2 linked regions of the Xenopus tropicalis genome follow. The protein of the gene in region 2 purifies or fractionates together with the protein of the main gene of each other region. This does not show direct contact. Links are inferred from orthologs where the notes say so. Each region holds a gene or a part of one and is shown on either strand. Other genes may lie near its edges. The genes, in order: copz1 and arcn1.

Region 1 (4,453 bases), on a different chromosome or scaffold from region 2:
TACCAGCCGGTGACAGACTTCTGAAATGGAAGGTAGAGTTGGTCCTGTGTCTGAAGGCAGTGCTGCTTGCACCTAGCACTAAGATATGTATAAAAGGGGTGGAAAATGGCCATCCCCTTATATTACTCTAATTTTACATTATTTATGGCAGTATGTATTTTATATATAGACATCTGAGTTTCCATGTCTAGGAAACCAGCTTTAGAGGGGCCATCCACAGTTTACTATGTAGATTCACCCCCCCCCCCTTTTTTGTCTTTCTTGCTTGATATCGACCAGGCAGGATCACTCAAGAGCTCCATATATGGGCCAATGAACAATTAAGTGTATTAATGATAACGTTATCTATTGTATTGAATGCCTGTGTGGCCTTCAGTAAATAGGGAAAAGGAATAGGTAGTTATTAGAATGAAAAAACTAACATACAGAAATATTAGTAAAGGTTTATAAACTAGAGTTTCCAAATCTCGAACTCAAATATCTAAATAGGGATTCAATATTGGAAAATGATTAATGTTAAAATAGGGGGCTGTGAGATATTATAAGAATAACCAGGGCTGCCATTGCTATGTGGGGAAAGTTACGCAAATTGCCTAACGTACATATAAAGTTATGGCAAAACTAAATCAATTTACGTAACTTAAACCTGCCTAGAAACTTGTGTAACTTGCATAAAAACTTGCGTACAAGCAAAAGACAATGCAGAGAAGGGAAAACTCCAGTAACCACCAATGAATGGTAAATTCTACCTCCCCCAATGAACTGACTTATTAGCACATTAATTATTCATTTTAACCATTTATATGAACTGCTTATTATAGAGTAATATCTCTGTTTTTATTTGGGATCTATTTACTGAATTCTATGAGTATTCTTTACATTAACTTTTCAGCAGTGGAATGACTGGTTATTGGGCCCCACAGCAACATCATTGGCCCCCTACGCTTATGCAAGTTACTTTGAGAAAACTTACATTTAAACTGCACTGACCCCTAATGAAAAGATTCACTTATTAGCACATTATTATTTTTACTGCTTTAAAAAAGTAAAGTAAGTAGTTTTCTCCAGAAAAGGTGGAAACCCTAACCCCTTTGCATCACCCACGTCCCCATACATATCTCTCCTTACATCCTAATTATGCTTATGTGTTTTCCTTTTTGTTTCCTCTTGTTGTTTGGGTACAAAATCCTGTATATAAGAACCAACATTGCTTCTTTGTAATCAGCTTTGGTGAAGGAACTCTTTGCTGAGATTATCATCTTAGGCAGCCAATACCCACAACACATCTACGCCACTTTTGTTATGCTTCATGTCAGAAGTTTCACACTACAACTTTTTCAACTGGCTAACATAGTGCAGAACACTGGATTGGAACCAAGAGCACTAAGCACAGTTTTTACGCAAAGTCAACCGACCTATCAATTCATTCCAATGTCCGAGCTGTAGCGTAACAGCAGGGTGGAGCTTTAAACTATTAGTGACACAGTAATTTACATCTATTTCCTCCGCCATGGTAACCATTTGCCCAATAAAAGCAGCTTCCGCTTCCAACGTAGACGCATTCGTGTTCCGCCTGTCAGTGACTGAAACCATCAACCAATTAAAAAGCTTTAGACGCTATTAGCCACACCCTTCTTCTTCCTGTTCCAATCAGACTGAGCGAGGAGGCGCGGCTAAAGTTTTGATTGGCAGATGAATTAGCCAACGCGCGCTTTGCTCCACGTCAGCAGGATAGAGAAAGATGGATGCTATACTGTTGGTGAGTGAGGCCGCGGAAATAGCTTTGATTTTAGTGTGAGGGGGCCGGTAAAACTTTATTTTTCTATGGTGGTTGCAATCGTTTGTTTAGCTGGCCAGGCTGCTGTGTAGGGACAGGGGACGAGTGGTTAGGGTCTGTCAGTGGCAGGCTTTGGGCTGTGACTCCCAGCATACGTTCAAACGCTAGGGTAGCTATTCATTTTGGGACCTGTAGGAGATATCGTGCAGCAAAGTAGTTACTTTTTGTCATTCAGGGATGTTGCACCTGAGCCTTACGCCATGGTGAGCCTGTGCCAGGGACCCCCTATTGAATGGCAGGACTGGGCAAGGGCTGCTGGCACAGAAATAATAAAAAATATCTGGTAGTGACATTTTCTGAATATAGTGTGCCAAACTCTATAGTGCTATACCCCTTCTGATATTCCTTGTGTGGGTGTGTGTTTCCTTCCTAATCTGCCTGATTTTTATGTAGAAATAGTAGTAGTAGTAATAGTAAATAGTAGTAGTAATAGTAGTAGTAGTAATAGTAGTAATAGTAAATAGTAGTAGTAGTAATAGTAGTAGTAGTAGATGATTGATTGGGCTTTTAAGGAAAAAGAAAGGTGTCTGGGCTATTCTGAAATCTCTTTGGGTTAGACTGGACAGGCCTGGCGCTTATGCATGTCAGATTGTTGCTATTAGTCTATTTGCAGTTTAACAACAGCAGTTGGGCTATGGCTGATGGTAGAAGAAATATAGAACAGTTTTAACACAATACAATATCTGTATCAGGCATTTAAACTCTTAACAATTTTTTTTTGCAGGATTTTGTTTCCCATGGGGTATTGCATATCCCAGATATAGTTTTATAGAATCTCTCTTTACAGGTTGTGATTAAAGGGTATTGTATTGGGTAAAAACAAGAAAGTTCTAGTGCATTATGCACCTCAAAATCTAGAATAAATGTGCTGAGAAGTTTTTGGCCGATTTATTGAAAATGTATCCAAAACCCTACTAGTCCTACCCATTTTTTCCACTTCCCACTGCCTTCTTTCCCAGACCTGATAGGGAACTGAAATCGTCATTTGCGTGTGTGATTGGCTATGCCCCTCCTACTGTGCTTCTGGCAGGGACCATTAGGACATACCCCCCCCCCCCCCACCACCACTTGAAACATGGACAGGCAGATCCATAGGAAGCTTTAATAAAAAGGCCATTTTGTAAAGCTAATGATTATTTTTATCTCAGAGTGAAACCTGAAACCAGCACCATATATTTCATTTATGCTATATGTCTACTTTAAACTTAGTGTTTGCCGTGTTTATCTACTTTTGAGTGACTGTTCCCCCAAATATTGACGCATGGCATGTAAGTTTCTTGAAAGAAATTCATTAGGAAGCTTTAATAAAAAGGCCATTTTTAAAGCTAATGATTATTTTTAGCCCAGAGTGAAACCAGCACCATATATTTCATTTATGATATATGTCTACTTTAAACTTAGTCTTTGCTGTGTTTATCTACTTTTGAATGACTGTTCCCCCAAATATTGACACATGGCATGTTAGTTTCTTGAAAGAGAATCATTGTATAAAGAGGTTGTTTGGGAATTGAGAAGAACAGGTAACATCTGCTAGCAGAGTCAATGACACCTTGATAGGGACTAACTCAGTAAAGAATTCATACATGCCTGAATCTATGCTCTGTTTTTATTACTATTCCATGTTTCTTCCTTTTATATATTCCCTTTAACAAGAATATCATACATTGCTGTCTTTGAACAGTAGCATAAATTATATTCTCAGTCAGCACCCTAGGCATAAACTGAACAGAACAACTAAAAACCAAATAGTTTAATACTGACAGTATCAGTTACCACTCACAAATTGGAAAGTGAACGTGTCCATCAACCACAAATAAAAGGTAGAACCAGAACAGGCATTAAGTGCTAACGCTTTCCAAACTCCAGGTATAGCACAGTAAATTGGCTCCTTTGTGTTTGGACAAACATGCAAATAATGACTTTCCTATGGTAAGTGGTAAACCATTAATTGAATTCAGGGTCATCGGTGTTTCCCAAGGGGCATCCTCGTCTGGTGGTTGAACTATAAGATGACTGAAAAGCAGGGACAACGTGCTAAATATAGTTTGTTATTGAAATATAAAATGGAATATATTGCATTTATCTAACTAAAAGCATCATGCGCATTTCTAATACAGAGAGGTAGTTTAACAGGTTTCCCCAGAAGAACAGTAGATAGTGGGTATCCAACCCCAGCTCTGATTCACACAGGGAACATTATTTGCAGTTCCCTCTCAGGTCTGTCTAGCTGCTGATTGAATGGCATCCTACAATGCAAGTGCTGAGTGCCACATAATCTCCTTCTCAACCTGGGAAAGCAGCAGCTCAATTCGGTGAATGGTGCTAGCAAGTTTTTTACATTTACGTAACTTTTTCAGCAACACCAAAGGAAACTTAAAGGTACATACATGTATTTAGAAGTGTATAATGCAATGAAAAAATGCTTCTTCTTGACACCATTTGTCCCCTTTAAGTATAATGTGAGAGGTCTGCTGGATTTCAAGCCTTTCCCAAAAAATATTGTCTACCTGGATTTAGAATTTTCAGTGTCAATTTTAACCTGGAGGATAAGCCCCAGCAAGGATTTTCCTTCTGTTACTTTTATTACAATTGAATAATCAGAGTGAATTACTAATT
Region 2 (3,430 bases):
CATTGCATACATGAAATAAAACCTGCAGAAAAGTAAAAACAGATATATATTCACACACAGCTCTGAATTTTTGACTAATTAGCTCTGTCTGTACACGGTACCTTGTGATTTCATGTTTAAGATATGGTGCACTGTTATGTATAGCATCCCTTTAATATAACTTGCTAACAAGCAATTATTATGCAGACATTAGTTAACAGCAGACAGAGCTTAAAACAGAATACATCAATATTAATACTGAAGAGCATTCTTATATTTGGACCTACAGGAGAAAAGACCATATGAATAAGCCGCTTGCAAGAAGATAATGAGAATCAATTGCTAAACCCATATTTACTATCTAAATTGCTTTATATTGTGCCTTGTTAGAATCACTTACGGTAGAGGAATGGTAATGACAACATCATTCAGTTCCAGCCTTTCTTCCTGGAGTTCATATTCTATGTTAACATCACAGCCATTCCCACTTTCTGATGGCCAACAGTTAACTAAGGTAAGAAAAAGACATTTGAACACATATTAAAAAGTTTTGTTAGCAACTGTATTTAATTAATTTCACAAACATTCAATGCATTTGCTAGATGGCAACTGTACAGTCTGTTCTTTAAAGGAACAGTTCAGTGTAAAAATAAAACTGGGTAACTAGATAGGCTGAGCAAAATAAAAAAATAGTTTGAAAATATTTAGTTTGCCAAAAATGTCAGATGTGGGCCTGATAAATGTGAAAGCAGTTGTTTTCCAGGCCGACCTTCGATGAGCTCTGCGTGCCCACATTAGGCAGCTACTGTACTGTAGCAGGACCGAGAGAAGCGGATCTATACATACTGTGTGCCCTTGCCCTTAGCATTTGCGGTGTCACTTACACTCAAAAATTTGCCTAATGAGCAGATGGGGAGCTGCTGCATAGAAATTTGAAGGCATGGATTATTGTTTTTATCTTCGCCAGGTGTTGTACGGTTGGTATAAAAAACAGCATTTTAAAGCATTTTATTTTTTTATTTTTTTTCCTTTAGCCTGCACTGCTGAAGTTTATATTATGAGAAATAAATGCATGTTTTTTTCACTTTACCAACATATACTTTTTGTATCTTACATGCTGTGTACAGCTAATTATTCCTATTACTGAGTGTGTATTAGAACAATTGACTATAGTTTGAATTTGGATGTCCTGTCTGCAACCTTAAACCACGTAAAAGTGTACATGAAAGGATCTGCAGTTAATACTGTCCTGCATAATAGCACACTGAATGTTAAAACACAGTACTTACTGGTGAGGGGAATAAAAGACTCATCTGTGGTCTGCAGTCTCCACTTCAAGACACCCACGTCACTATTCAGAGGGAAGGATTTTTCTGGGTTTTTCAGCCCAATTACCGAATCCGAAGTGAAAAGTTTTTTGTCCACATTGGGATGAGTCTGAGACAAGAAAGCGAAGTTATACAAAACAATATGTAGCAGCCATCCATAACCTTAGACTGTCTACAAAAAGTTTTGACCATTTAAAACTGGAGCTTCAGCTCTTAGTTTTTCAGCCATGCAACCAATCATTTAATTTACAAACAAGCACTATTCAGTACAACTGTAAAGCAGTGTACTAAGCATGTTATACAAATGTTTAGTATACTTGTTTGATCATTCAATTCTCATATTAAAGGACTTGAAAACCCTCAAAAAATTTTTTTGCCTAATTAAAGAAAACATAATTCCAGGCAACTTTCCAATGTGAAAGTTTTTTTTTAATTGAAAAATTTTATAAATTAAATTGCTATTGAAAGCAGCATTTACTTTTTAAACAATGTTGCAAAGGTCAGTCTGCTCCAGCAAGACAGGTCTGTCAGTCTGCTGGCATGTGTTACATTGTTTCAAATGCCAGAGCCACCAGGGAAAATAATAGAAAAGGTAAAGTAATGAATGTATATTGCAAAGTTGCTTACAATTTTTTCTTTTATCAGGCAAAAAAATATATTTTCGATTGACTTTTCCTTTAATCCATTTGTGAACCATGAAAGACAGTTTATTTCAGTAATTCAAATACAGATGCTTCCTAACCTGCAGTTGTACTCCTTTTTTATCTTCATTTTCAATGTGCACACGGATCCTGCCAAACTTATCATCTGTCACTCTGAGCATAATCAGCCCGTGAACCTCCATATTCTGAAGTCCTCCATCCCGGCTGCAAGTAAGGGAAATTTTTTCTTCAACCCTCAAGTGAACACTGTAGATGAAAATAAAGAATATACTCAGAAGTCAAAAACAGCACAAATCTGCTCACCAAAAGAAAAATCAAAGACCCTGTTGGGAGATGCAAAGCAGAGGTAGGGATTCTAGCACAAAATACTAAAGTTTTACTAAGTTTGCTATTGTGGTAAGTCCTTTAACATGAGAGTGGTTACCAACAATTTATAACATGTTAAATAATAAGCTGCCAAAATGTTGGTTTGCTACAGGCAGCTCGAACATAAAAATCTAAAAAGCTGTTGCAAACTGTATACATACAGCATAGAAGTTTATAACAGAGAATAGAGCTTTTAATCAATAAATGGATTTCTCTAAAATGGTGCATTTCATCCCCTCTCAACAAATGTGAATGCTAAAGGGATACGGTCATCAAATAAATCGCACCTTTTGTAATAATTTGTGAAGTTTTGATTGTTCTGCCTTTGCTAGCCTTTCTTCAAATGTTGAGAAAACAAATATTGAATTCTTCCCACTTAAATCACACAATCTAATTTCTATAAGAAATGCAAAATACTGAGCATAAATAACTGTTTTTATATATACAAAGAAAATACTGGATAAAACCTCTTTCACCACAACTGATATTACAAAATATCAGACTTCCTGTCCCCATAAATTCCCAACACTGACCTCTCCATGTTCACGGGAGGAGCAAGCACCTTGGCCACTTCTGACTGCCTCTTGCCAGATGAAGGGGTGACAATAGTTTCTCCTTCAGATTTTAATTTGTCCACAAAGTTATCCACCTCCTTCCCTTTAGCTCCAAGTTTCAGGGCTTTGCCAGAACCAGATGGCCTACAGGGGGCAAGACAATATGTTGCACATAAAAACCTTTTTAAAGCCATAATTCTACAATTCCCATTCCATCATTTTAAATATTATACAGTTCATTTGGTTTGCAATAACACTTTACAATTGTATTTTGCTTGTATACCGTGATGGAACAGGGGCACTCTTTGTTTTCTCTGGTTCTATAATGGTCTCTGTAATCAGCGAAACTGCATTGTTAGACATGGAGGAACCACCCGAACTTCCAAACCCTCCAAATCCAGGAGCCTTCTTGCCCTGCCGCTCTGCATCCCTTCTAGCCTGCTGAAGCTCCTTGGCTTTGCGTCGCATCTCTGCCTTGGCTTCTCTTTCCTGTGTCTGTAAAGAGTGCAGAAAGAAAGGTGCATGAATAACTCCAATATCT

Evidence for each region.
Region 1: the proteins of arcn1 (region 2) and copz1 fractionate together in Homo sapiens (co-fractionation; 5 studies listed by BioGRID and IntAct, with this or other methods). This does not show direct contact. The link is inferred for Xenopus tropicalis from reciprocal best matches to the Homo sapiens genes ARCN1 and COPZ1.

The regions. Positions count from the first base shown.
Region 1 is NC_030678.2:145,584,085-145,588,537, reverse strand, and holds the start of copz1 (coatomer subunit zeta-1), read left to right. Parts: upstream 1-1,653; 5' UTR 1,654-1,741; coding exon 1,742-1,759; intron 1,760-4,453. UniProt on the Homo sapiens protein: The coatomer is a cytosolic protein complex that binds to dilysine motifs and reversibly associates with Golgi non-clathrin-coated vesicles, which further mediate biosynthetic protein transport from the ER, via the Golgi up to the trans Golgi network.
Region 2 is NC_030683.2:80,549,424-80,552,853, forward strand, and holds part of arcn1 (coatomer subunit delta), read right to left. Parts: intron 3,385-3,430; coding exon 3,173-3,384; intron 3,034-3,172; coding exon 2,869-3,033; intron 2,216-2,868; coding exon 2,050-2,215; intron 1,417-2,049; coding exon 1,269-1,416; intron 489-1,268; coding exon 380-488; intron 1-379. UniProt on the Homo sapiens protein: Component of the coatomer, a cytosolic protein complex that binds to dilysine motifs and reversibly associates with Golgi non-clathrin-coated vesicles, which further mediate biosynthetic protein transport from the ER, via the Golgi up to the trans Golgi network.